Linked DNA regions of Arabidopsis thaliana. The protein of the gene in region 1 interacts with the protein of each later gene in a pairwise test. Each region holds a gene or a part of one and is shown in the gene's direction. Other genes may lie near its edges.

Region 1 (8,995 bases):
CAACGAGAATAAGAACACATGGGTGTTCCTCAAACCTTGGGGCTTAGACTTATGGGTCACCACTGCTTGTTTCTTCGTCCTCATTGGTTTTGTTGTGTGGTTGTTCGAACATAGAGTCAACACCGACTTCCGTGGACCGCCTCACCACCAGATCGGCACTAGTTTTTGGTTCTCTTTCTCCACCATGGTTTTTGCCCACCGTAAGTTCTTACACCAATAATGATAAATGTTAACTTTCTTTTGAAAACTATATTATGTAAAATGAGACTATTGTTACATTGTTTATATATTAAATGTCAACTTATTTTCAATGTGATAATTTTTTTATTAACAAGAATCAAGATCCTAATGATGAAGTAATTTGTGTGTGTGCATATAGGTGAGAAGGTAGTGAGCAACTTAGCAAGGTTTGTGGTGGTTGTATGGTGCTTTGTGGTGCTTGTGCTCACTCAGAGCTACACAGCAAATCTCACCTCTTTCTTGACGGTGCAACGTTTTCAACCAGCGGCCATAAATGTGAAAGATCTCATAAAAAATGGGGACTATGTAGGCTATCAACACGGGGCTTTTGTTAAAGATTTTCTAATAAAAGAGGGATTTAATGTTTCTAAGCTCAAGCCTTTTGGGTCTTCCGAAGAATGTCACGCGCTTTTGTCCAATGGTAGTATATCAGCAGCTTTCGACGAAGTTGCTTACCTTAGGGCTATCCTTTCTCAATACTGCTCCAAATATGCCATTGTTGAGCCTACATTTAAGACTGCTGGTTTTGGCTTTGTAAGTTTCTTTTTTTTTTCCCTTATATATGAAAATTTCAAACTAGGAAAAAAAAAAAAAGACAGTTCGAGTATTCATTGCTTGTTTCCTTGATCAATGTGTAGGCATTCCCCAGGAATTCACCTTTGACAGGAGATGTCTCAAAGGCTATCTTAAATGTGACTCAAGGAGATGAAATGCAACACATCGAGAACAAATGGTTCATGAAACAAAATGATTGTCCTGATCCAAAGACCGCTCTTTCGTCGAACCGTCTAAGCCTTCGTAGCTTTTGGGGTCTGTTTCTAATAGCAGGCATTGCTTCATTCTTGGCACTACTCATCTTCGTGTTTCTTTTCTTGTACGAAAATAGGCATACACTATGTGATGATTCCGAAGATTCGATATGGCGTAAGCTAACGTCTTTATTCAGAAACTTCGATGAGAAAGACATAAAGTCGCATACTTTCAAGAGCAGCGCTGTTCATCATGTGAGTTCACCTATGACTCAGTACATTCCGAGCCCTTCAACTTTGCAAATCGCACCACGGCCACATAGCCCATCACAAGACAGGGCGTTTGAACTAAGAAGAGTGTCATTTACCCCGAATGAAGAACGGTTAACTACGCAAACTATACATTTTGAAGATGAAGAATCTGATATTGAATGTGTTGTTGAACAATAGAGATAAGTTTAGAAGATTCCATAACAAGTTATAGATAGGATAAGCTAAGTTCGCTGCATATATTCCTAACAAAGCTATTATTCTTTTATTTATAACAAAGTTTATATTAATAGGATTGCATTGCAAAAATATAGCAACTCTAAAAACTTCATATGTACATAGTGGCAAGTGACTTTAAGGAAAGTTCCTAGTTCCAAATAAACGAGGATAACTATTCGCATCCATTCCCAACCAGGGTCGTGAAAGAGGGCTCTGGTCATTCATGATCCATCCACCATGCGTGATTCTTACATCTCGGCCAAAAGATCCAATAATTTACTATATCATTATTTGCAAATGCTCATAGCTCTACAATATCACAATCTCAAGCAAGAAGAAGCGTAACAGAGGAAGAAAGATAAAGGTACACATAGTTATGTAAAAGCAATCACTGCCTTTCACGAAGTGGTTGTCCTTTAGCGAAACCCTCTCTTCGAATTGGAGACTTTTTTAGCTTTATAACCCAAGCTAAACAACTCAACGTCCTCCAGTTACCCTTTAATGACTTAAATCGGACCAAATGCATTTCAATTTAATCAATTCTTCAACACAACAGAATTTTAAGAAATTAGACTATTGTATATCAACCATAAAAAATTGTTTATGTCGTCATCACCCACGTAAATGTAGATTCTTCAGTTATATCCAAAATCATGTACTGTAATTTAGGATTAATGTATTTTCATTGTTTTGGAAAAAATAATGTTGACGAATATTTGTTTTCGATTTGCCCATATTATACGTCTTCTTGACCTATTCTCGAACATGCGTAAGAGAATGTTGTTCTACAACGGACAATCATATTGTGTATGGCATAGTTGAACAAACTAAATCTGAATAAATCCAAACTAAGAAAATTCCGTTAATTTCCGACTGCTCGTAAAAAATAAAATTAAAAATCTTGGAGGGAAACTCACTTCACTTACCCTATATTTTTTAATTTCTGTATGCTAATTCCACCAAAGTACACATATCTACAAGATACACTCTTCTATAAAACATTTATTTATTTTATAGTAGTACGACAATTTTTGATACATTTTATTTCTAAGAATTCTTTAAAAACGGTTCATTGCATTTTTTTGCGTTAATTGTATGGACATATCTACATATATAAGCTATTTTTAGTGTTTTTGTGTGCAAGCATATAATTATTCTCAACCATTTTTTTTAATTTAATCCTATTACATTTCCCAAACACATTTTTGCTTATTCTTATTCTCTTTAAAACACATATATTTCCAAATATTACCTCTAACCTATTTCGATTATTGTAATTCCTATTGCAAAACACATTTGAAAATTCTTAAAGTTGGCCAAAACAATTATTAAAAAATTATAATATTTAAATTTACCATTAAATCTGGATAAAATGTATATATTCTTTTTATATAAGAAAAGCTTACAATAGTATTTATCTCGTGCATTAGCATGGGATGGATGTATAAAACATTAGTTTTTTTCTTCAGAAAGGCTATCCTCAAAAATAGATCTCAAAAAGGGTTAAGAATCTTATTTTGCACAATTAACTCTTAATTATTTCAATTATGATATTATAATATGTCAATTACAATACTAAAAGTAAAAAAAAGAAAGAATTGCGATCCTTATATTTTATAAAATAGACGATTTGGTTATTTAATAAGTTATGGGTATTTTGTAGTTTGCTTTTCAAAGAGAATTCATCTGCAAAAGCCTCATTTGACTCTTTCAAACCAGTTTTATTAATTTCTAGTCAACACACTTTTTTTTAAAAAAAAATCGATATGTCTCTTTCGTTGAGAAACCAATTTTTGGCATAGTATTTCAAAGTCTTTCATTGATTATAAGTATCTTTCAAACCGATCCTTCCACTGTATATATATAACAGGAAAAAAGTAAGTTAAAGAATCACATAAAGTCTCCTCAGTTTTGGGGCGATTATGATGATGAAAACTAATAACACCTTTTTGAGTTACTTTGTTTGCGGTTTTTTGTTGATGGGGGTTGGTTTAGGACAAAACCAAACAAGTGAAATCAAAGTAGGAGTAGTTCTTGATCTCAATACAACATTTTCCAAGATCTGCCTCACTTCTATAAAGATGGCCGTGTCCGATTTCTACGCGGATCATCCAAATTACCTCACAAGACTTACGCTTCACGTTAGAGATTCCATGGAAGATACTGTTCAGGCTTCAGCTGCAGGTTCGTTACTTCTCTATGTCTTGCTTCAGCTTCCCGTCATTTTGATTTATTACTTATTAGTTGCGGTTGAATGAAACATATTACGTATAGACATGGTTTAGCTAATTACTATTTTATTGAATGTGACCAATATTTTAGATCAGTATTAAAAATCAAAGTATCATATGGGGGTATATGCTAAGAGTCTTGGTGACGATTTATCTTTTAGACTATACTTCAAAAACCAAGTGTATTCTTATGTGGTCTAATGTCTATGGTAAGAGCAATCTCTTGATAGAGAAGTCCAATTTTTTTCTCTTCTAGAAATTCATGGTGACGGTTGTATGGTCGCAGAAATCCTGATTACTATTAGTCTCGTTAATTATATTTAACTCATGAGTCTTAATATATTAGATGAATAGTCGAAAACTATTGGTGACATGTCTTATGATACCTCTACAATTTTAACTATTTATGTAAATTAATATTGTCTTATTACTTTGCAACTAGAGCTCTTTTGGACTCGACAAACATGGCTTAGCCTTATAAGTTGTAACTCTTCCATTGAAAATGGAAGATATTATATCCAAAAACAGAGGATATTTAACCTTTCTTCTTTTCTTTATGTTGCTTGTGGTGCAAGCAGCCTTGGACCTAATCAAAACCGAGCAAGTGAGCGCCATCATCGGACCAATAAACTCTATGCAAGCAGATTTTATGATCAAACTGGCCAACAAAACTCAAGTACCGACCATCACATTCTCTGCAACAAGCCCTCTTTTGACATCCATCAAAAGCCCTTACTTCGTCAGAGCCACTATCGACGACTCATCCCAGGTCAGGGCCATTGCGTCCATTTTCAAATTCTTTAGGTGGAGAAGGGTCGTCGCAATTTATGTGGACAACGAGTTTGGTGAAGGATTCATGCCTTTCTTGTTTGACGCTTTACAAGACGTGGAAGTCAAGAGAAGTGTGATCCCTCCGGAGGCTATCGATGATGAGATTCAGAAAGAACTTCGTAAGCTCATGGAGAGGCAAGCGAGAGTATTTGTTGTCCACATGGAATCAAGTCTCGCTTTACGGGTTTTTCAGATAGCTAGGGATATCGGGATGATGGAGGAAGGGTATGTATGGTTAATGACCAATGGAATGACGCATATGATGAGACATATAAACAATGGTCGTAGCTTAAATACTATAGAGGGCGTGTTAGGTGTGAGGAGCCATGTCCCCAAATCGAAAGAGCTCGGAGATTTCCGTTTGAGATGGAAAAGAACATTTGAGAAGGAGAATCCATCGATGAGAGATGATCTAAACGTTTTTGCATTATGGGCATATGATTCAATTACTGCATTGGCTAAGGCTGTGGAGAAAGCCAACACAAAGAGCTTATGGTATGATAATGGGAGCACCTTGTCAAAAAATAGGACAGATTTGGGGAACGTAGGGGTCTCTCTCTATGGTCCAAGTCTTCAAAAGGCTTTCTCGGAGGTAAGATTCAATGGTTTGGCAGGAGAGTTTAAACTCATAGACGGGCAGCTCCAGTCACCAAAGTTTGAGATCATAAATTTTGTCGGAAATGAAGAGAGGATTATTGGATTTTGGACACCAAGAGATGGACTCATGGATGCAACAAGTTCAAACAAAAAAACGTTGGGGCCAGTGATATGGCCAGGGAAGTCAAAAATTGTTCCAAAAGGATGGGAGATTCCAGGGAAGAAGCTTAGAGTGGGCGTTCCAATGAAGAAAGGCTTCTTTGATTTTGTTAAGGTAACCATAAATCCGATCACTAACAAAAAGACCCCAACCGGTTATGCCATAGAAATCTTTGAAGCTGCTCTTAAGGAATTGCCATATTTAGTCATTCCTGAGTACGTCAGTTTTGAGTCTCCAAATAACTACAACAATTTGGTCTACCAAGTATATGACAAGGTTAGTTTCTTTTTTTCTACTTACAAACAAAAAATTCTAAACATTCACAAAATCATATTGTAAACCATTTCCCTAATTTTATGTCTTTTAGATGTTAGATTTATAACACATTATACTAATATATGAAGCAGACATGGGATGCAGTTGTTGGAGATATAACCATCACAGCGAACAGATCTTTGTACGCTGACTTCACGTTACCGTTCACAGAGTCAGGAGTGTCTATGATGGTGCCGGTGAGAGATAATGAGAATAAGGACACATGGGTGTTCCTCGAACCTTGGAGCTTAGAGCTATGGGTCACCACCGGTTGTTTCTTCGTCTTCATTGGTTTTGTTGTGTGGCTATTCGAACACAGAGTCAACACCGACTTCCGTGGACCGCCTCAGTACCAGATCGGCACTAGTTTATGGTTCTCCTTCTCCACCATGGTTTTTGCCCACCGTAAGTTCTTACACCAATCAAGAATCTAATAATGATAAATATTTACGTTTTGTAGCTTTTATCTCCAAACATAATTACATTGTCAATATTTTTTAGATATCTCAACTTATTTTATGATTGTAATGATAAAGTGAAAACTTGTGCATGTGTATATAGGTGAGAATGTAGTGAGCAATTTAGCAAGGTTTGTGGTGGTTGTCTGGTGTTTTGTAGTGCTTGTTCTCACTCAGAGCTACACAGCGAGTCTCACCTCTTTCCTCACGGTACAAAGTTTGCAACCGACGGTCACAAATGTAAACGATCTCATCAAAAATAGGGATTGTGTAGGGTACCAAGGTGGTGCTTTCGTTAAAGATATTCTATTAGGGCTAGGATTTCATGAAGATCAGCTAAAGCCTTTTGATTCTGCCAAAGATGCCGACGACCTTTTGTCCAAGGGGAAATCAAAAGGTATCGCAGCAGCTTTCGACGAAGTTGCTTACCTTAAGGCTATCCTTTCTCAATCCTGCTCTAAATATGTCATGGTTGAACCTACATTTAAGACTGGTGGTTTTGGCTTTGTAAGTACCTTCTGTTTCCTTTCTATGTATTTTTACAAAATAAGGGGACAAATAACACATGTTTTGTTTCCATGATCAATGTGTAGGCATTCCCGAAGAATTCACCTTTGACGGGAGAATTCTCAAGGGCTATCTTGAATCTGACACAAAACAATGTAACGCAACAAATCGAGGACAGATGGTTCCCGAAAAAGAATGATTGTCCTGATCCAATGACCGCTCTTTCGTCCAACCGTCTCAACCTCAGTAGCTTCTTGGGTCTATTTCTAATAGCAGGCACTGCTATATCTTTTTCATTACTCGTCTTCGTGGCTCTTTTCTTGTACGAACATAGGCACACTCTAGGTGATGATTCCGAGGATTCCTTGTGGAGAAAGCTAAAGTTCTTGTTCAAAATCTTCGATGAGAAAGACATGAATTCGCATACTTTCAAGAACAGTGCCATTCATAATATAAGTTCACCTATGACTCACAAGACTCCGAGCCCTTCAACTGTGCAAATCACACCATGGCCACAAAGCCCATCACAAAACAGAGAGTTTGAGCTAAGAAGAGTGTCATTTAGCCCGAGCGAAGAACGCTTCACTACGCAACCGATAATACATCATGAAGATGGAGAATCTGATATTGAATGTCGAGTTGAACAATAGAGATAGATGTTTTACAAAACTACATTAAGAAGTTATAGATGATTATTTACCAAAAAAAAATTATAGATTCTTCCATGAAAATTAATACGATTTTATTTATTAAATTGTTATTATAGATTTATATAGAATTCATCTTTCAGTGCTTGCCTACTCAATATTTGAAAGAAGATACATCAAACGCACTTCTATTAATTAAAGTTTGTGAAGCAAGTAACATCAGAACAGAGATGTCTACAAATAAAAGTAAGAACATTTATATTCTTATAACAATATACATAAGACTTAATATCAAACCCAAAAAGAAACAGAAAAAGAAAAAAGACTGACGACGATAACTTAAGAAAATTTCATCATTATGCGATCACCGACCAAAGATGAATAGATGATTATACGAATAATATTAAGACTTTTAAAAAACGAAGGGAAGTTTCTTAAGGAAGAGGAAACGTTGAAGTGTGAATAACTGAGGAGTTCCAGCGAAGCGGCTACTGCATTTTGCAGTGATCTGAGGTTCGTATATGCGTACGTGGATTTCTAGGGATGTCACGGACTAAGTTATTTTTATTTTAATCTTCAAATGTCATTTGATTTATATTTTAAAGATCCTTCTCCAACTTATCCACTACGCAGCCCTTTCACCACAACGAACGACCATATACGTCAATTTTAAGTGATTCATTGACTAAAGATAACGTTAGTTTAAAGTATTTAATTTACCAAGGTCCAAGATATGATGAAGTTTTCAAAAATAGTTTAGAAAATAAGGTTTTTGGTGACCAGAGTAAATTTTATTTAAAACCTTGCATTTTATAAAGGTAAAAGATCGTCAAATATTCTTTTTAATCCATTCGTTATAGAAACTATTAATTATTTAATCGTTTTCTTAATCATCATGTTATCAATTGTTTTCTATTGCAAAGATTTTTTGTATTATCTTCTATCGTCATTGTGTATACACAAAATACGTAAAAGTAATTGACTATCACATCGTACAGAGAAAAGATTCATCATCATAAAACAAAAATGGAAAAACTCAAACGTAGTATTTGTTTAACTAATGGAAGTGGTAATATTTTCTAAACAAAAGAAAAGAATTTAACTTTGCTAGATTTTTTCTTGCTGACAAGAGAACTCAACCATACAACATTTTCAGTGGATCCCATTTATCTCAAAGAAAAAATGATGAACTAAGGTCTTTGTTTTTTGTGGTCACTAAAGTGTAGTGTGGGGTTAGCCAAAGGGCAAGTAAAATACAGTCCAAATACACAAACACCACTCACCACTGAATTTACACATTATTTTTCCTTTCTTGTTCCGTACAGGTTTTCGTATCAACAAAAAATATAAATTATCCTAAAATAATTAATCGTAGAACAACAAAGGATAGCAAACGATAACCACATAAATAGTACTGCGCCGAACACTTTGTGTACAAATATCTATATATGTAAAGACTCAAAAGAAAAGTAAAATCAAGTTTTGAAAGGAGAACATGTAAATAACATTCAAAAAAAAAAAAAAAACAAGTAGAATGATAAGTTCTGAATTATACTTTTAATATACTTCTAGAATCTAGGATATTCTATTTGTAGTATATATGCAATTTTCAAGTTTGTGTTTATTGGACCAAAGAACCGTCGGCAAATTTTTGTATTACTTATCAAAAATATATTTTATTTTAATTACTATAAAAATAAATACAAAAAACTAAGATAGATATACGATCTTTATTTTTTCTTTTTGCATATATTAGCTATTCGTTGGCGGC
Region 2 (6,354 bases), 1.9 Mb from region 1:
TAATTAAGCAGAAGTTAGAAATCCGATCTTAACTTTAAAAACATAACATACCAACAAGCCCAAACAATAATTCTAAACACAATTTCATCATACAAATCCATTATAAATGCATCTAACCTAATGACTGGAGGATCATATACATCAAACCTAACTGCAAAAATGTATCAAAGAGAATCTGTAAAATGTTTAATATGCTTTAAGATTGTCGATTATATAAAAGTATATATAAAGTTAAATGTAAATGGAAGCGCTAACACAAACAAACAATGGAAACCATGTAAAATTTTGGCAATGATGCATCTTTCAATAGAAATAAAATGTTCTTCAAAAGATTATGCATAAACAGTCGAAGCATACAAACAACACAAGATATTTATTAATGTTATCCATATCATATGATGCGAAAACGAAATCACCGAATACCAGAGGAGAAAGATAAGCATTTAGATCACATCAATGCACCAATCGAGAAAATGGAAAATGAAGACAAGATGCACAAAGAGGTTTGTTGGGACTTTACCCCACAATGCTCATTCCCTCTCGTCCTTTCCCAATCATTTCTGTCTCTCTTATAATTGTGCAAACATTGTCATTTACCACCAAAGCAAATGTGCTCTTTCACTGTGCCTTATGTCGCACTAATATCTTTGTGGGCCTCTATAATCATCACAGATTTTGCGGGAAAAGGTAAAAATTCTTAAAAATATATATTGTATAAAATTAAACTGCTCTTCATCTTTTGTCAACATATATATTAAACTACTTCGAACACTGATATGCATTTTAAAGCATTTTTTAGAAAGACTTGAGTTAAACTAGTTTATTTACTGAGTTAATGTTTTTGGATAAATGATTCGTTCAAAAGTGAATATTTGGAACTGATCGATCAAAAGTTTTGTTGACTAGAGATAGACTGAGAGTAAACTACGCTATAGATATTCTGTATGCATTTTTTACAAAGACTTAAGATAAACTTGTTTATTACTGAGTTAATGTTTTCGATAAATAATTTCTTTAAAAGTAAATTTTTGTAGTTGGATCAAAAGTTTTCTTGACTAAAAAATGGACCGAGAGAAAACTACGCTATAAATTTGAAGGTTTGAACTCTTTATGTTTTTGACAAAAATAAGAACCCTTTATGTTCGGTAACTTCGATTAGTTAACTGGACTTCATTTAACTAGTTTAATTTCATTAGTCGATATAATTTTTCTGCCATTTTAATGGTATAAACGCCTATGTTTCAAGGGTAACAGAAAATAAGTATTAAGTTTTTCTCTTCTTTAGTTCGCAATGTGAATACATAGATGATTCCAAAATATGCTTTCTTATATATTTGTAAGAATTTAGTTTGAAAAACAGACATGGTCCTTTAAAATGGAACCTGTGAAAAAATATAAACTTAATTCTTTTAACAAAAAGAAAAGAAAAAGTTTATAACATTTGGGGCACAAATTTGCACCTGATCACTACATTTTAATATGATGACAGCTTTATGGATTATTGAGGTAGTGCACCTGGTGCACGGTAGTTGGTGTGATAGTAACAATTGGAAAAAAAAAAAAAAAAAAATCCCACATATGACTTTTATTTGCACTTTTGAAATTTTTTTTCTTTATTTTTCTTTTAAAAATATATTTTTAATATGTAAAATTACTAAATTAACTTTCTTAAATTAATAACAATTAATCAAAAACATATATATTTTAATATCAAATCAATTTATTTGTAATAATTAAAATAATTCAAAATATATATTTAGGGTAATAAATTTTTGAATTTGTTAGTCTTTTATAACTAACAATTCCAAATCTTTATTGCCCTAAATATGTTTTTCTAAACAATAATGACTAACAATATTCTACCGATATTAAGTCATGATTTTTTTTAAGCCATGTGTTATGGTGCAGATTTTAATATTCATTATTATTGTAAAACATTAAATAATTTACTTTGCAAAAAAAAAAGGAGAATTATTGAATTCAAGCAAAGTTTGGTGATATGTTAAGTTGAAAATTGTGTTTGGACTACTCGAGATTATTTTATTTTATATAAGTCCGATTGGTAACACAAAACTGTACAAAATTTTAGCTGTTAGCTATAACCAAAACTTTTTTTGGAATAGTGCAAAGTTGTACAAAAGAATTATACGAGAAAGCTGTACAGTAAAGTTAAGAGTAAAACTTTTTGTAATGTTTTTGATAAAGTTAATTTTTGCGAATGATAACTCTCAAAATAGTACAAGTTATATCGCTTTGAGAATGTGTTACCATTTAAAACCTATAACATGACAAATATTAAGTGATAGACTTTATAATACTTTTAGATATAGAAAAATTGAGAGATAGAAAATTTCTTCATCCAAAAAGAAAGAGAGAAGTTGGATTCCCAATTTGCGGGATCCCAAAAAAATAAAATCCCCATTAGGCATCATAGTGTGTCCTCACAAGAAGATAGATATCGTGCCATAAATTAGAACTGAGAGTAAGGGGTCTTGGAATCCATCTCTCACTCTCATTCCTCTGTCACTTCCAGAAACCAAACTATTCATCTATCTAAATTGATCTATTTGGCTTAAAGTATCTTAGAGTCATCAAGAGGAAACCCCTTGTCTTTCCAAAAACTTTCTCGATATCATGCTATCACTGACATATTATTGGATATAAGACTTATAAGTCTAATACCCAATTATTGTAGTTTGTGTAGTTGATTGATGTCAAAGTTCATATGGTTTCAAATTTATTGGTAAATATTATGATTGATATCCTTTTTTTGATTTTAAAAATCACCATTTATATATTTTTCAACAACCGTTAAGCAAAAATTTTAAACCAATCTGCGGTAGTTCTTGTAGGCATTTTTCAAGTTTTTTTTAGTGTAGTTTCTTAAAGATACTAAAATTTAATTTATCGTGTCTAGTTTAAATTTGTGTAATTAATGTTCGCTATCTTTCTTTAAAAAAACAAGCACCTTAACATATATATGTGTCTATAACAAAGTAAGTTTGAGTACATAATATTGCATGCAAATATATGCGGCAAAACTAAAAAGTAATAAACGGCAAATGAAAAAAAAAGCTGCTTTAATTCAAATAATTAAATATTCGGAGTGACTCACTTTCTTTTTCCCCAGGGACTTCTTACCTATAAATATAACACCTCACCACACCCATTGTTTCATTCATCTTTCCAGCTTTCTTCACTTTTTCCTTTATATAAAGTTAGAAAAACAAAAAAAACAAAATAGTTAGAAAAAATCTGAGAGAAACAGAAGAAACATAAAAAAAATGAGGCCATTGAGCATTAAACCAACATCGTTAGATGTAGCTAGACATGCCACATCAGTAGAATCATTTGGGAATCACCGACCGCCGATATCGCCGTGGCACTCACCGGTGCCGTACCTATTCGGTGGTCTTGCGGCGATGTTAGGCCTCATAGCCTTCGCTTTACTTATCCTAGCCTGCTCTTACTGGCGCTTGTCAACCTCCGGTGATGACTCCGGCGAAAGAGTCGACGAGGAAAAAGAGAGTCGGTCTGGAGTGAAGGCGGCTAGCGCGGCGTGCGAGGAGAAGGTTCTTGTCATAATGGCCGGAGATGACTTGCCGAGGTTTCTGGCCACGCCGGCGGCGAACAAATGCATGTGCGGTCACGAGGGTAGAATGGTAATTTTCAAGGAGGATGGTATTGGTGCTGGAGAGGAGAAAATGGGAGACAGAGAGAAAGCCAAAGAAAATGAAGAAACAACGAGTCAGTGAGCTTTTTTGTTTTCTTTTCTTCTCTCAGTCTTGTCTTTTTTTTTTTGTTGGGGAATTTTCCTTCGTGTTTTCACGGGAAATGTAAAATTTACTGAGAGAAAATTTTGGGTTATGATTAATGAATGTTTGCTTGTAATTTCCTATCCCCAATGGTGGAAAACTCGTTTTTAGTTTTTGTAATTCTCAAAAGTGTGATAGGTAACCTTTCTCATACAGCTTTAATACCAATCAGTAATAGAGTAAACTAAAACGGAATAACATAATAGTACTTAAAATTCTTACAATTTTATGTCATCACTAAGATCTACAAAAAAATGAATCATAGTATCATAACACTATGTTTGCCCAAAAAAAAAAAAAAAAGTATCATAACACTATTGATCATAAATTCAAAGCTTGCAATGTTTCGATGGAAACGTGATTCATCCCGTACACAAACTGTAATTTTATATACATTTTCAGAAACTAATGTAATGCATTAACCCTTTTGTATTACGTATATATTCTCACATTTTATATTTTGTAAGGAGATTCGTTTAGTTACTTTAATTATGAATTGTTATAATTGTGTCTCCTCCATGTATTTGTGTTACTTTCATATTTTCCTTGCATTTATATATTTTATTTACCATAGGATAGTTCTGAATTTGCTATCAACTTGGATATTTTAAATTAATTGAGACTCCATCTAGTTCACCGTCAAATTTTAACTATACTTGTTTAACTATACTTGTTATATAACGAGTGAATAAACTGGAAATAGTATTACTATTAACTATGAACTTACATTCGTAATATTCGAAAATATGTGCGTGAGTTAGTCTTGTCACAAGAAAAGGAATCATATTCTTTTTTTCATTAAACAAAAATTGGAAACACATATTATGGTATAAATCAAAAGATAATTCGATTACTTGCCCCATTTGCCTGCTTTACTTTCAATTTGATAATATCCCATCAACAAGAGTCTTGTTACATGACCAAATTTTCTTCTGTTCTCACGTTATTAAGTATTTTGAAGTGAAGTGCACTCCAAACAAACGTCTAAAACTTAAGGTTTGTATAATCCTCAATCAAAAACATTTTACAACTTATTTCTATTTTTTTATATTGGGGTCTTTTTCCCAGCTACTAATATACGATCACTTAAGTAATTTTTTGTAAAAATCATTAAAAATCCTAATAAACTCATTTGCGTAGTTCAATTACACACATACATATGTAGTAATATAAATATTATTTTCCGTTTTAAATTATCGTAAATGGAATGTCATTTAGAATTTTAATTTTATTCACCACAAATGTTTTTTTCTGTTTTAATATATTTGTTTGTTAAAATTTATATTTTCGTCGCTAATTAGTCCACTGAAATTATAATCCACAGGCTAGATAATCCACTGATTTCAACAAAGGTGAAAAAATTATATAACTAATATTTGTCCATTAGTAGTAGCTAATTAATTGAAAACGTTTGTTCTCTGAATCGAAAGAGCTGCATAAGAGAAAGGGGACACGTGTCAAAAACAGAGTTTAATATGAAAGCGAAGACAATGATTCTGTTTTGACTTATTTGTCATTTGCTGAGCTGTCTTTAGAGGCGCCGAGTAGCCGCGTCTCCCGCAAGAAAGTTCCAAAGCAATACTTCTTCTTTCATTGCATTCATTTCCCCAACTGTCTCAAACTTTGTGCCGCATAAGCAAAAGGTACAAATAAAATAATAATAAAAATAAAGGATGGCGAAAACAAAATTACTTGTATCAAACAAGAACATTTTGTTAATTTTTCCGAGTGAAAACATCACTTGATATGGATATGCGATTTTAGTTGTTGTAAGTTTCTCTAGCATAATTGATAATTCCTATTAACATCAATTTTGATATAGCATTAGGACTTCAATGTTTTTATTTTTAGGGTTTGTTCTTTTTGACTTCATTAGTCTAGTGGTACTTTAAGACCACTTTTTCACCTCACACATGGATGATCCAGACCTAGTCAAGCTAGGAGTGACTTTTATGTTTATATAATTTATACATGTTAAATTATTTTAGTTTTCTTTTTTAAAGGAGATGAATTTAATTCGGTGTGGATCCCGTCTCTAGAAAATATAGGGTCTTTGGGCTTGAACTTCCAAATATTCGAATAACAAAAAAAATTATTTTAGTTTTTAACCCAAAAAGAAAACATTTGCGATCAAATGTTATTGTAAACAACGCACACTAAAAAGACATTTACCCTTTTCGGTGAAGAGACACAGGGACAGCTACATGCGACCCAAAAAATGAGCTTACCCTCTATTTCACATATGTAAGAATATACTCTAATTAGACTCAGCATGTAGTATAAAGAAGGTGTTGACAAAAAAGCTCAAATAATTCGATAAACTAACAATGCACGGGTACTAATTAACAAGGAATTCTCATAAAATTGAAGGTAAATTTAAACAACAATAAGAGCATCCCAATTAGGTAAGAGATTTAGTTAAGTAATTGCGATCAAGGAAACAAGTACAACAGAAGTGGAAGTCTGTCTCTATATCACTTTCTTCCCTGATGCATAAACTTACCTCTTGTTCACAAACTTTGTTAACATTTTGATAATG
Region 3 (9,133 bases), on another chromosome or scaffold:
AACAAAAGAAAACAAAGCAACTTCAACTAATTTTTTTAGTATTTTTTTAGCCGTACTTGTTTCTTTCTTCACACGTAGTTTACTTTACTTGTTTTTAAAAATGGTTTACACACTTTTTACTAAATTAATTGGATTGCAAATATGAAGTGGATACGTTACGAAGTCGACCAAGACGCCAAGACCGACTCTTCACCAGTATTGAGCCACGTGTCTTCTGCCAATTGTTTTGCGAGGATACTTTTTGGCATCGGACTGGTGCATCTACATGACGTGGCCTCTTGTTTAATCGTCACCTGGCTTTCCAATTTCCAAATAAAATCTACTAAGCTCTTGCTATTTTAAGCTTTTTATCTGCTACCATATGTTTCAAGTTTTGATATTATCTTCAAAAATATGGGAAAATAAATACAGAAAAATCAAAAAAAATAACTGTGAGTATGAAAAATATGGGGCGATTATTGGATGATAAAAAGAAGGTATGAAATTTCTGAATTGAAAAAAATACATAGAAAGGAAATTAGAAGAGGGGATAAATTGGTGAGGTAAATTTTGAATCAAACATTAAATTAACAAAAATGTAGTAAAATAGGGGGAAAAAAAAGTTTTTTTTTTTTTTTTGGAAATGTGTATGGGCTAGTAGCCCAAAAACAAGGAAAACACAAACTATTGGACTGGACTGATCAAAATAGTTAATGAGCGGTTTTGGTTTATGTAAAAAAGAGAATGGGCCTTTTAGATAGACTCTTTAAATAGAATTTGACAATCTCTTAAGTTATCTATTTATGGATAAATAAGTGATCCAACTTTAACTAGGTGAATTTGACAATCTTAAACTAGTAGGGAGTCTCACTCATGAACATTTTACATATTTATTTTTAAAATACTACACTTTCTTGAATACACAGCTTTTTTTTTGGGTGATATAATAAGGTATCTTCAAAAATTTATATATGAAATCAGATCCTAATATCTTGCTTTTACTGAAACCAAAAATTGTGTTTACAAAACGGCTCACATATCGGATTGGCACTCAAAAGTCAAATCACATATTTTGCCACGGATTTTATATAACTTCAAATATATGGAGAATGGAATTTTTGTATTTTTCAATTAGAAAAAAATACTATAGGGAAAACAGAGATGGGCAGGTCTGGCACAGGGCGTGTGAGACGTGGTCGGATTGAGGCAACCTGAATTTTGCATCTTATCTAAAATTCAGATTTGACCATCCCACTCACTGTATAAACCACTCCACATTATCTTTTTTATTTATTTCATTATTACTCTTTTGTGTACCCAAAAATGTGAGACTTATTGGTGACCATACAAGTCATAATTTATTCTTGTCGAAATTAATTTATATATAAATGTATGCGTATGTGTGTTGTAGATACGAATATGTGTCAACGTTGCTGACACTAATCTAATTATCATTATTGTGAACAAAGAGAGGCTTAAGAGTGTTCGATTGAAGTAGATATTTAATACTATTTGTTTGGATAAGGTAGTGTTAATTCAATGCAGTGCGCGGCCAACCAAAAAATAAAAAGATCAATTGCAACGTGTATCCAGTTACGGGTATGATTGGGAGCGATAGAACTTTTACATAAACATACACAAATCATTCTACAACACTTTTTAATCAAGTTTCATAGATGGTTAGATGAGTTCTATTCGAATTAACCTTATAGTGAGTTTTGGTGTGGTAAAAATAGTGTTGATTTTGGATTACATATACACATGCGGTTAGTTGGTGGTGTTGGTGATTTTGGATTTTGGATTTCAGTGAACAGCATCAAAGGCTCCGAGTTCGACCCATGAAAATAAAATCAGTCAATCCATTGCTTCTTCTTCATCTTAAAGCGTCGAGTCTAATGCCGATTTCTCTATGGAGAATACTCATCAGGATCATGATACAACCTGCAAACATGTTGCGTTGCCCTTATCACAGAGAACAGATCACTCATCTTTTTTTTCAAGAACTCACTCATGCATATTACCACTCACACATACTATCAAATAACACGGCACTAACACTAAAACAAATTACTAAGTTACAAACTGTACCAACACAAGATTTGCGGTTATTTATTCCTCTAAGTACCAAACTATTCGTGTCCTCGTTTTAAAACATTTAAATGCAGAGACAAAATCAGTTGAAGAAGACCTTAATTAGCTGCAAATATGCGATAATATTTTCCTAGTAATGCCAAGTTGCCAACTATAAAAAATGAGAAGATTGTCGAAAAGAACCAACTAATTACAAAAACTCATTTCCTCAAATTCTGGTCACGCTTCGCTTTAAACCTGTGTGCTTATCCATTGAAAACAAAACAACATCCCACGTGTCACCTTCTTTGCCACACGTGTGAATCTTAAACCACACATAGCCGTTAGAGGTAACGTCGTTACCGTGTCTTATGATATACGGAAGTTAACGCCGTTTGTTTAGTTTTTTCTTTTTAACGTCCGTGACGGTTTCATAACCTCGGGAACTAAGTAAGGAAGAGCTTTTGAAGCAGAGAGTCGTTACGTTTCAAACAACCGATCATAGTCATAGACACAATTATGGTATTAATTTCATTAATTAGTACTAATTCCCTATCAATTACAAGGAACGCAATTACAAAATTTTGTCTATAATAACATCAATTTTAGACCCTCATTTCAAGGAAAAATGTGGGAATGATTCTCCAATGACATATTTATGATTAAAAAGTTCATTTCTCAGGTTCGAAATATTTTGACCATTTTGAAATATACTAATAATGTTGTTTAAAAACATATCTTATTAGAATGTTTATATGGTGTTATAGTGTTGAGATATTTTTTTTAAATATAAATAATTGAGTACAAATCTATAAATTTAAACAATAAAGAGTGTTATTAACAATTAATGATAAGTAGTAAAAAAAAAAGAATATTCTTCAATAAAAACCGTAATTCATTTTTTTCCTATTTTTTAAAAAACAAAACAAAATAAGATAACCATAGGAAATGCCACTCTGTTACAACTCAGCAGTCTAATGATATTTAATAAAATACCAATTTTAGTGGTTTATGGTCAACAAAAATAGTTTACAAGCTTAGCTAGATGTGAATACATACTATATACTACCAAACTAGTTTATGATTTGTATATGAATCAATAAAAGCGTTAGCATAATTAGTATATATAAATGTAACTGTAATTGGACCAAAGAGATAAAGCATCTTGGGTTTAGTAAGCTTTTGAGCTGATGATGCTTATGTGATTAATGTGAATATAAGAATTAGGGAACAATCTTGTTGTTAATAACAATACTTATAACATTTAAATGCCCTTAAGTATCGTCATAATTACATCTTTGTCCCTATCCTTCTCTTTTTCACTTTTCCTAATCTCTAATATAAAACCAACTCTTGTCAAATTCAACAAAATTCTCACACAAACCGACCCGACCCGAATCTGGCCGGTGAGAAAATGGAGGTCCAAAGCAGCAGCAACAATGGTGGTCACTCTTCTTTCTCCAGTCTCCGCGTCTACCTCAACTCTCTTTCCGCGACGCCTTCTCGCTTATCCCGCCGCGCTATTTCCGTCTCCACCTCTTCCGACGAGATGAGTCGCGTCCGCGCCGTCTCCGGCGAACAGATGCGCCGTACTCTCCGGTGGTACGATCTCATTGGACTCGGAATCGGGGGAATGGTCGGCGCCGGTGTCTTTGTCACCACCGGCCGTGCTAGTCGTCTCGACGCCGGTCCTTCAATTGTCGTCTCTTACGCCATCGCCGGGCTCTGCGCTCTCCTCTCCGCTTTCTGTTACACCGAATTCGCCGTCCATCTCCCGGTCGCCGGCGGTGCCTTCAGCTACATCCGTATCACATTCGGTTAGTCTCCCGCGAAAATCATCACTACTCCTCCGATCTGTTCACGGTTTTCTGAAAATTTTAATTTCAAAATCAAAAACCGTAACTGATTTCTTTTCTGTTACATTTCCGTTCAGGTGAATTTCCAGCATTTTTCACCGGAGCAAATCTTGTAATGGATTACGTAATGTCAAACGCGGCCGTTTCGAGAAGCTTCACCGCTTATTTAGGAACAGCTTTCGGGATCTCAACTTCCAAGTGGCGATTCGTCGTCTCCGGTTTACCGAAAGGATTCAACGAGATTGATCCAGTCGCAGTTCTCGTCGTCCTCGTAATCACAGTCATCATCTGTTGCAGTACAAGAGAGAGTTCCAAAGTGAACATGATAATGACTGCATTTCACATCGCATTCATATTCTTCGTGATCGTGATGGGATTCATAAAAGGAGATTCAAAGAATCTATCCTCACCGGCGAATCCAGAGCACCCCTCGGGATTTTTTCCGTTCGGCGCGGCGGGAGTTTTCAACGGAGCTGCCATGGTTTACTTAAGCTACATAGGATACGACGCCGTTTCAACCATGGCGGAAGAAGTTGAAAATCCGGTCAAAGATATCCCCGTCGGTGTTTCCGGCTCCGTCGCAATCGTCACCGTTCTTTACTGTCTCATGGCAGTCTCTATGTCAATGCTTCTGCCATACGATCTGGTCCGTACTTCAAATTTATTATTTTCTTATTGTATATTTCCGTTTTCATAAAGACGGCACGTAGTCTGAGTCTAAAGCTGAAAACGGCGGGGCATGTGTTGTTGTAACGCAGATAGATCCGGAGGCGCCGTTTTCCGCGGCGTTCAGAGGATCGAACGGCTGGGAATGGGTGACGAAAGTGGTGGGGATAGGAGCAAGCTTTGGGATATTAACATCACTTTTGGTGGCAATGTTAGGTCAGGCTCGCTACATGTGTGTCATCGGACGGTCCAGAGTGGTCCCCTTTTGGTTCGCTAAGATTCATCCCAAAACATCTACGCCAGTCAACGCCTCCACTTTTCTTGGTACGTTTCTTTGTCTTCATTCATTCATCAAAAAAACATTTATTTAATTACTGTCAAACAAACAATGATGAAATATAATCAAATCATATATAGTTAAAAATAAATTTTGGTCCAGAAAGTGAGATAGAGGAGTAGTAGTTAGGTTAAAAGGGGACCCCAATGAGAACCGTTTCGGTTGTTTCCATGATCTTTTTATTGATTTGAACTTTTAACGTTTTCTCTAAATCATACGATCCACGTGATTTCATTATATATACGTGTCCATTTCAATATATTTTAAAGATCAAAAGCTTTTGGACGTTACCATTTTAAAAATCTTCTGCTATCGATTTCGATCGTGACAAGGGCTATGTACGTTGTGTAAGTATATCTCAATGTAGGGACATGGTTCAATGTGATTTGTATCATTGTATGGTGTTTAAGACAAGAGTCACAGAGAGAGCATCTGAGTCCGATTGCTAGATGTCGTTGTTCACCACTGGTTTTCTTTTCTGCTCTGTGAAAAGTTTCGTGTTTTTTGATTGTTCAAAGATTCAATCTTTTCAACGGTCTTGATTGTGATGGATTTGGTGGGTCTCTTTGGTTCTTTTTGTGTCTCCTTAGTGTTAAAAATACATATTCCACTTTTTTTTAAATAAAAATACGATAGTTGGATTATTAGTCATCCATTGGACGACTAGTAGTTAATCAATCATTTTTTTATTTCATTTTTTTTGTGAAGATACTACTAAGCCTAGTCGGCTGATATTTTGACAACTCCAACTTTTCGTAATTTCCGGAACATCTGGCTGAGCTATGCAACTCGTGAGTTGTTAGGTACCAGGATTTAGAATAATGACCATCTTTGATAAAATACATAGAAGATTGGAAAACATATACTAACGTTTAGAGCCATATTTATATGCATAATCTTTGTAACAAGCATTGTTTTCCTCATTAAGTTACTCTCATGCCTTTGTCACAAAATGGATCATTATAAAGGGGGTCATCATCGTTCAACCTTATCCTTGCTAATTTTAGCACCCACTAACTCACATTTGCTATATCCATCAATAGCATTGACAAAAAGACAAAATAAAGGAACAAATCCTCCCACTACCATTCATTTCAAATTTGGACTTTTTTCACTAGTCGAATCATCTACAGTTATAGAGAATATGACCATTGACCAATCTTATTAACGTTCGTATATTTTATCCCTTATCAGGCATTTTCACGGCGGCTCTTGCGCTTTTCACCGACCTAAACGTCCTCCTAAACCTCGTATCCATTGGAACACTATTTGTCTTCTACATGGTCGCAAACGCTCTCATCTTCAGACGTTACGTCCCGGTTGGACCCACCAAGCCGTGGCCCACACTCTGCTTCCTCACACTATTCTCCATAACCTCTCTCGTCTTCACCCTCATCTGGAAACTTGTGCCGGAAGGTAAGCCTAAAGCTTTCATGCTCGGTGCCAGTGCGGTGGTGGCTATAGCCATCGTGCTGAGCTTTCAGTGCGTGGTTCCCCAGGCTAGGAAACCTGAGTTGTGGGGAGTCCCGTTCATGCCGTGGACCCCGTGCGTGTCGATATTCTTGAACATTTTTTTGCTTGGTTCGTTGGACGCACCCTCTTACGTCCGGTTTGGATTCTTCTCCGGTTTGATCGTGCTCGTGTATTTGTTTTATGGCGTTCATGCGAGTTCTGATGCTGAAGCGAATGGATCTTTTGGTGTGAAAGATGGACAAGTCATGAAAGAGCTAATTGAAGTGTGAAAAGTATTTATTTAGTTTAGTTTTCTAAAGCATCATGAACCAAAATGTAATTAAACTCTCTAATTTTTTTTCTACATGAGGGGGTTTGAAATATTAATGAGAAAATATTAAATACAACTTTAGGAAAAAAAAGAATATGTATTTTGGTTTAACGAACGACCAAAATGAAATCGGTCATATGCAAGTCAATCTGTTGAGAGAATAGAGAAACTGATGATATTTTTGTTTTACCGTTGTGTACAATTCACAACACACAATATTTTTAAATACAGTACAAACTATTAGGTTACAAGTTTTTGAGATTGAAAGATCAAATCTTTGTCAAACCTATAAGGCAAGATCACGTATGAAATATACATGTGATAGATAACATTAATAAATGGAAACGTTAGATAGACATAGGTCTCTCATAAATACGAGATGGCGTACAATTGAAAACGATGGGTCCCCATCTTTCTCACGGGACACACATACGTGACATTATCCGCAACTTCATATATATCCAACAAGATCACCTTTTCTTTTTCATTTTTTTGTTCACAATCACTTGTTTCAAATTCCTTGAGGATATTTATACATTCTTTTATTATTTGCATTTATATATTCTATATATCAATAGTACTATTGAACTTTCGTAAACAAAGAACCATGCACAAAAAGTTTCAGTTTATTAAAGATGTCTTCATTTTTCTACTTTTATTTCTTATCAAGTATGATTTAGTTTATCTTATTGATTTCATAAAGATGAATGTCTAAGGTAGGATCGAATATGTGATCTCAATTAGTATAATCAGTCCAATTATTCTTTTAGTGAACACTACCAATAGGCAATAATTATGTGAGTAATTTAGTTAGGATAACATACATAATTACATTTTTATATATTTTGAAGTGGATGATATAAATCTCGAATCTAAATGAACTGTGTTTAAGTGGGAGACGACACTTGCTTGTATTCTCTCTCTTTTTGGTAACTATATTCGTAAGGATGGGGTCCAAAGAAAAGCCCAATATTTTCAAGATCGTCACATTGTTGGAAGCTTTATTTTTACATTATTTATGGATTTGTTTATAAGAAATATTCTGCCAATAAGAAGATGTGATTCTATTGGCAATACAAAGATTTGATGTCTTTCTAGAAACCCCACTTTACTCAAAGTAATGAGTTCCCTCTGTAAAAGGGTTCAACTCTAAGCGTGATCAGTGCTTCTTTTTAAAACTTTCCTTTATCCTAATTACAAACCTTAATATTGGATTCTACATTGGATTAACTACCAAAATTTTGACTTTTGAGGTTTACAAAAAGACAACATGTATTTTGTTTAACAACGGCCATGAAAGAACCTATTTTCTTCATTTTTTTTTTTTTTTGGTACAACCTGTCTAAACTAACAAAATATCTTGGATTTAGGATCATTATTATTGCATTATAATTATCGGCTATCAATTTCTGAAATGCACTAGAGTAAATGAAGAAAACTAGAGCTTAATCCTTGATTAAATAAATTATATAGAACACGGGACCACGAAAATGTCAACCTCTTATAAACCATTCAAAGCAAAATCTAAGGCAAGTTGTGTAGAAGATAGAGTGAGCCCATTAATCCATAGCTATATAGGTCTAATCAATTATTTCACTTTTTTGTTGACATTTTTATCACGAAATTTTTTTCCGACTTCTCATGAGCTTTGACATTCGCTTAAAGAAAAAAAGATCTTTATGTATAAAATAGTGTTTTCCAAAAAAGAAATCATAAGAGGAAAGATAGGAAGAAGGATAAGACTTTGATTCTCACCAAACAGCGAAGTTTTTGGCAACTTGCAACACCCTCCACATTTTAATTATCCAAATAAAGTTAAATAAAAAGTTAAACTTAGACATTCTATTCCATGATGTTAAAATCTTGTCGTCAAGTTGGTCTTACTCATATTTCAACATTCTTAATCATACAAATACGGAATCGCAAATCTTATTTATCTGCTTTCTTTCACCAATTGTAATAGATTATTATATTTTGAACAAACAACATTTATGACTTTACAATTTAACAAATATAAGATAGAAAAAAACAAGTTAAAAATATATAATCATCTGTTAATATGGCATTAACCATTCCCGCCAAATTTCCAAATAAGTTGTATAACAAAAAAAAAGAGCAGACTTGAGAAAAAGCCCATCAATATTCGAATGTGATAGTACACTTTAGGCATTTAGGCCTTTGGCCCAAACTAAGTATGTTGTCTCCTTCGCTGCCAAGGATGAACATTCTTGGTTTCACGGTGAACTTCTTGATCCGATGCAAAGTCTTACCCAGAAGAAGCAATACGAGTTCTCTCTCCCGAAACATCTCCGTACTCGCCAGTTATGATCAGGAGGAAGTATCACCGGGACGATATAGCAATGAGTTTTCGAATCGTAACTTGGTGCACGAAATTTTACAGCTTTGTGCTAGAAACGGAGCTGTTATGGAAGCAAAAGCTTG

What was found. The genes of interacting proteins can lie anywhere in the genome.
Region 2: the proteins of GLR2.9 (region 1) and GDU4 interact in a protein complementation assay, tested with the Arabidopsis thaliana proteins (one large-scale study listed by BioGRID).
Region 3: the proteins of GLR2.9 (region 1) and CAT6 interact in a protein complementation assay, tested with the Arabidopsis thaliana proteins (one large-scale study listed by BioGRID).

Annotation. Positions count from the first base shown.
Region 1 is NC_003071.7:12,499,324-12,508,318, reverse strand, and holds GLR2.9 (glutamate receptor 2.9), read left to right. Parts: upstream 1-3,374; 5' UTR 3,375-3,400; coding exon 3,401-3,662; intron 3,663-4,287; coding exon 4,288-5,573; intron 5,574-5,704; coding exon 5,705-6,017; intron 6,018-6,173; coding exon 6,174-6,577; intron 6,578-6,663; coding exon 6,664-7,227; downstream 7,228-8,995. Other genes in the region: GLR2.8 (glutamate receptor 2.8), read left to right, coding at 1-200, 380-774, 879-1,439. UniProt on the Arabidopsis thaliana protein: Glutamate-gated receptor that probably acts as a non-selective cation channel. May be involved in light-signal transduction and calcium homeostasis via the regulation of calcium influx into cells.
Region 2 is NC_003071.7:10,556,195-10,562,548, forward strand, and holds GDU4 (glutamine dumper 4), read left to right. Parts: upstream 1-2,978; 5' UTR 2,979-3,284; coding exon 3,285-3,755; 3' UTR 3,756-4,045; downstream 4,046-6,354. UniProt on the Arabidopsis thaliana protein: Probable subunit of an amino acid transporter involved in the regulation of the amino acid metabolism. Stimulates amino acid export by activating nonselective amino acid facilitators.
Region 3 is NC_003076.8:1,375,655-1,384,787, forward strand, and holds CAT6 (cationic amino acid transporter 6), read left to right. Parts: upstream 1-2,966; 5' UTR 2,967-3,463; coding exon 3,464-3,866; exon of another isoform or gene 3,867-3,982; coding exon 3,983-4,551; intron 4,552-4,663; coding exon 4,664-4,895; intron 4,896-5,616; coding exon of another isoform or gene 5,617-5,648; exon of another isoform or gene 5,649-6,102; coding exon 6,103-6,650; 3' UTR 6,651-6,824; downstream 6,825-9,133. Other genes in the region: AT5G04780 (Pentatricopeptide repeat (PPR) superfamily protein), read left to right, coding at 8,886-9,133. UniProt on the Arabidopsis thaliana protein: Permease involved in the transport of the cationic neutral or acidic amino acids.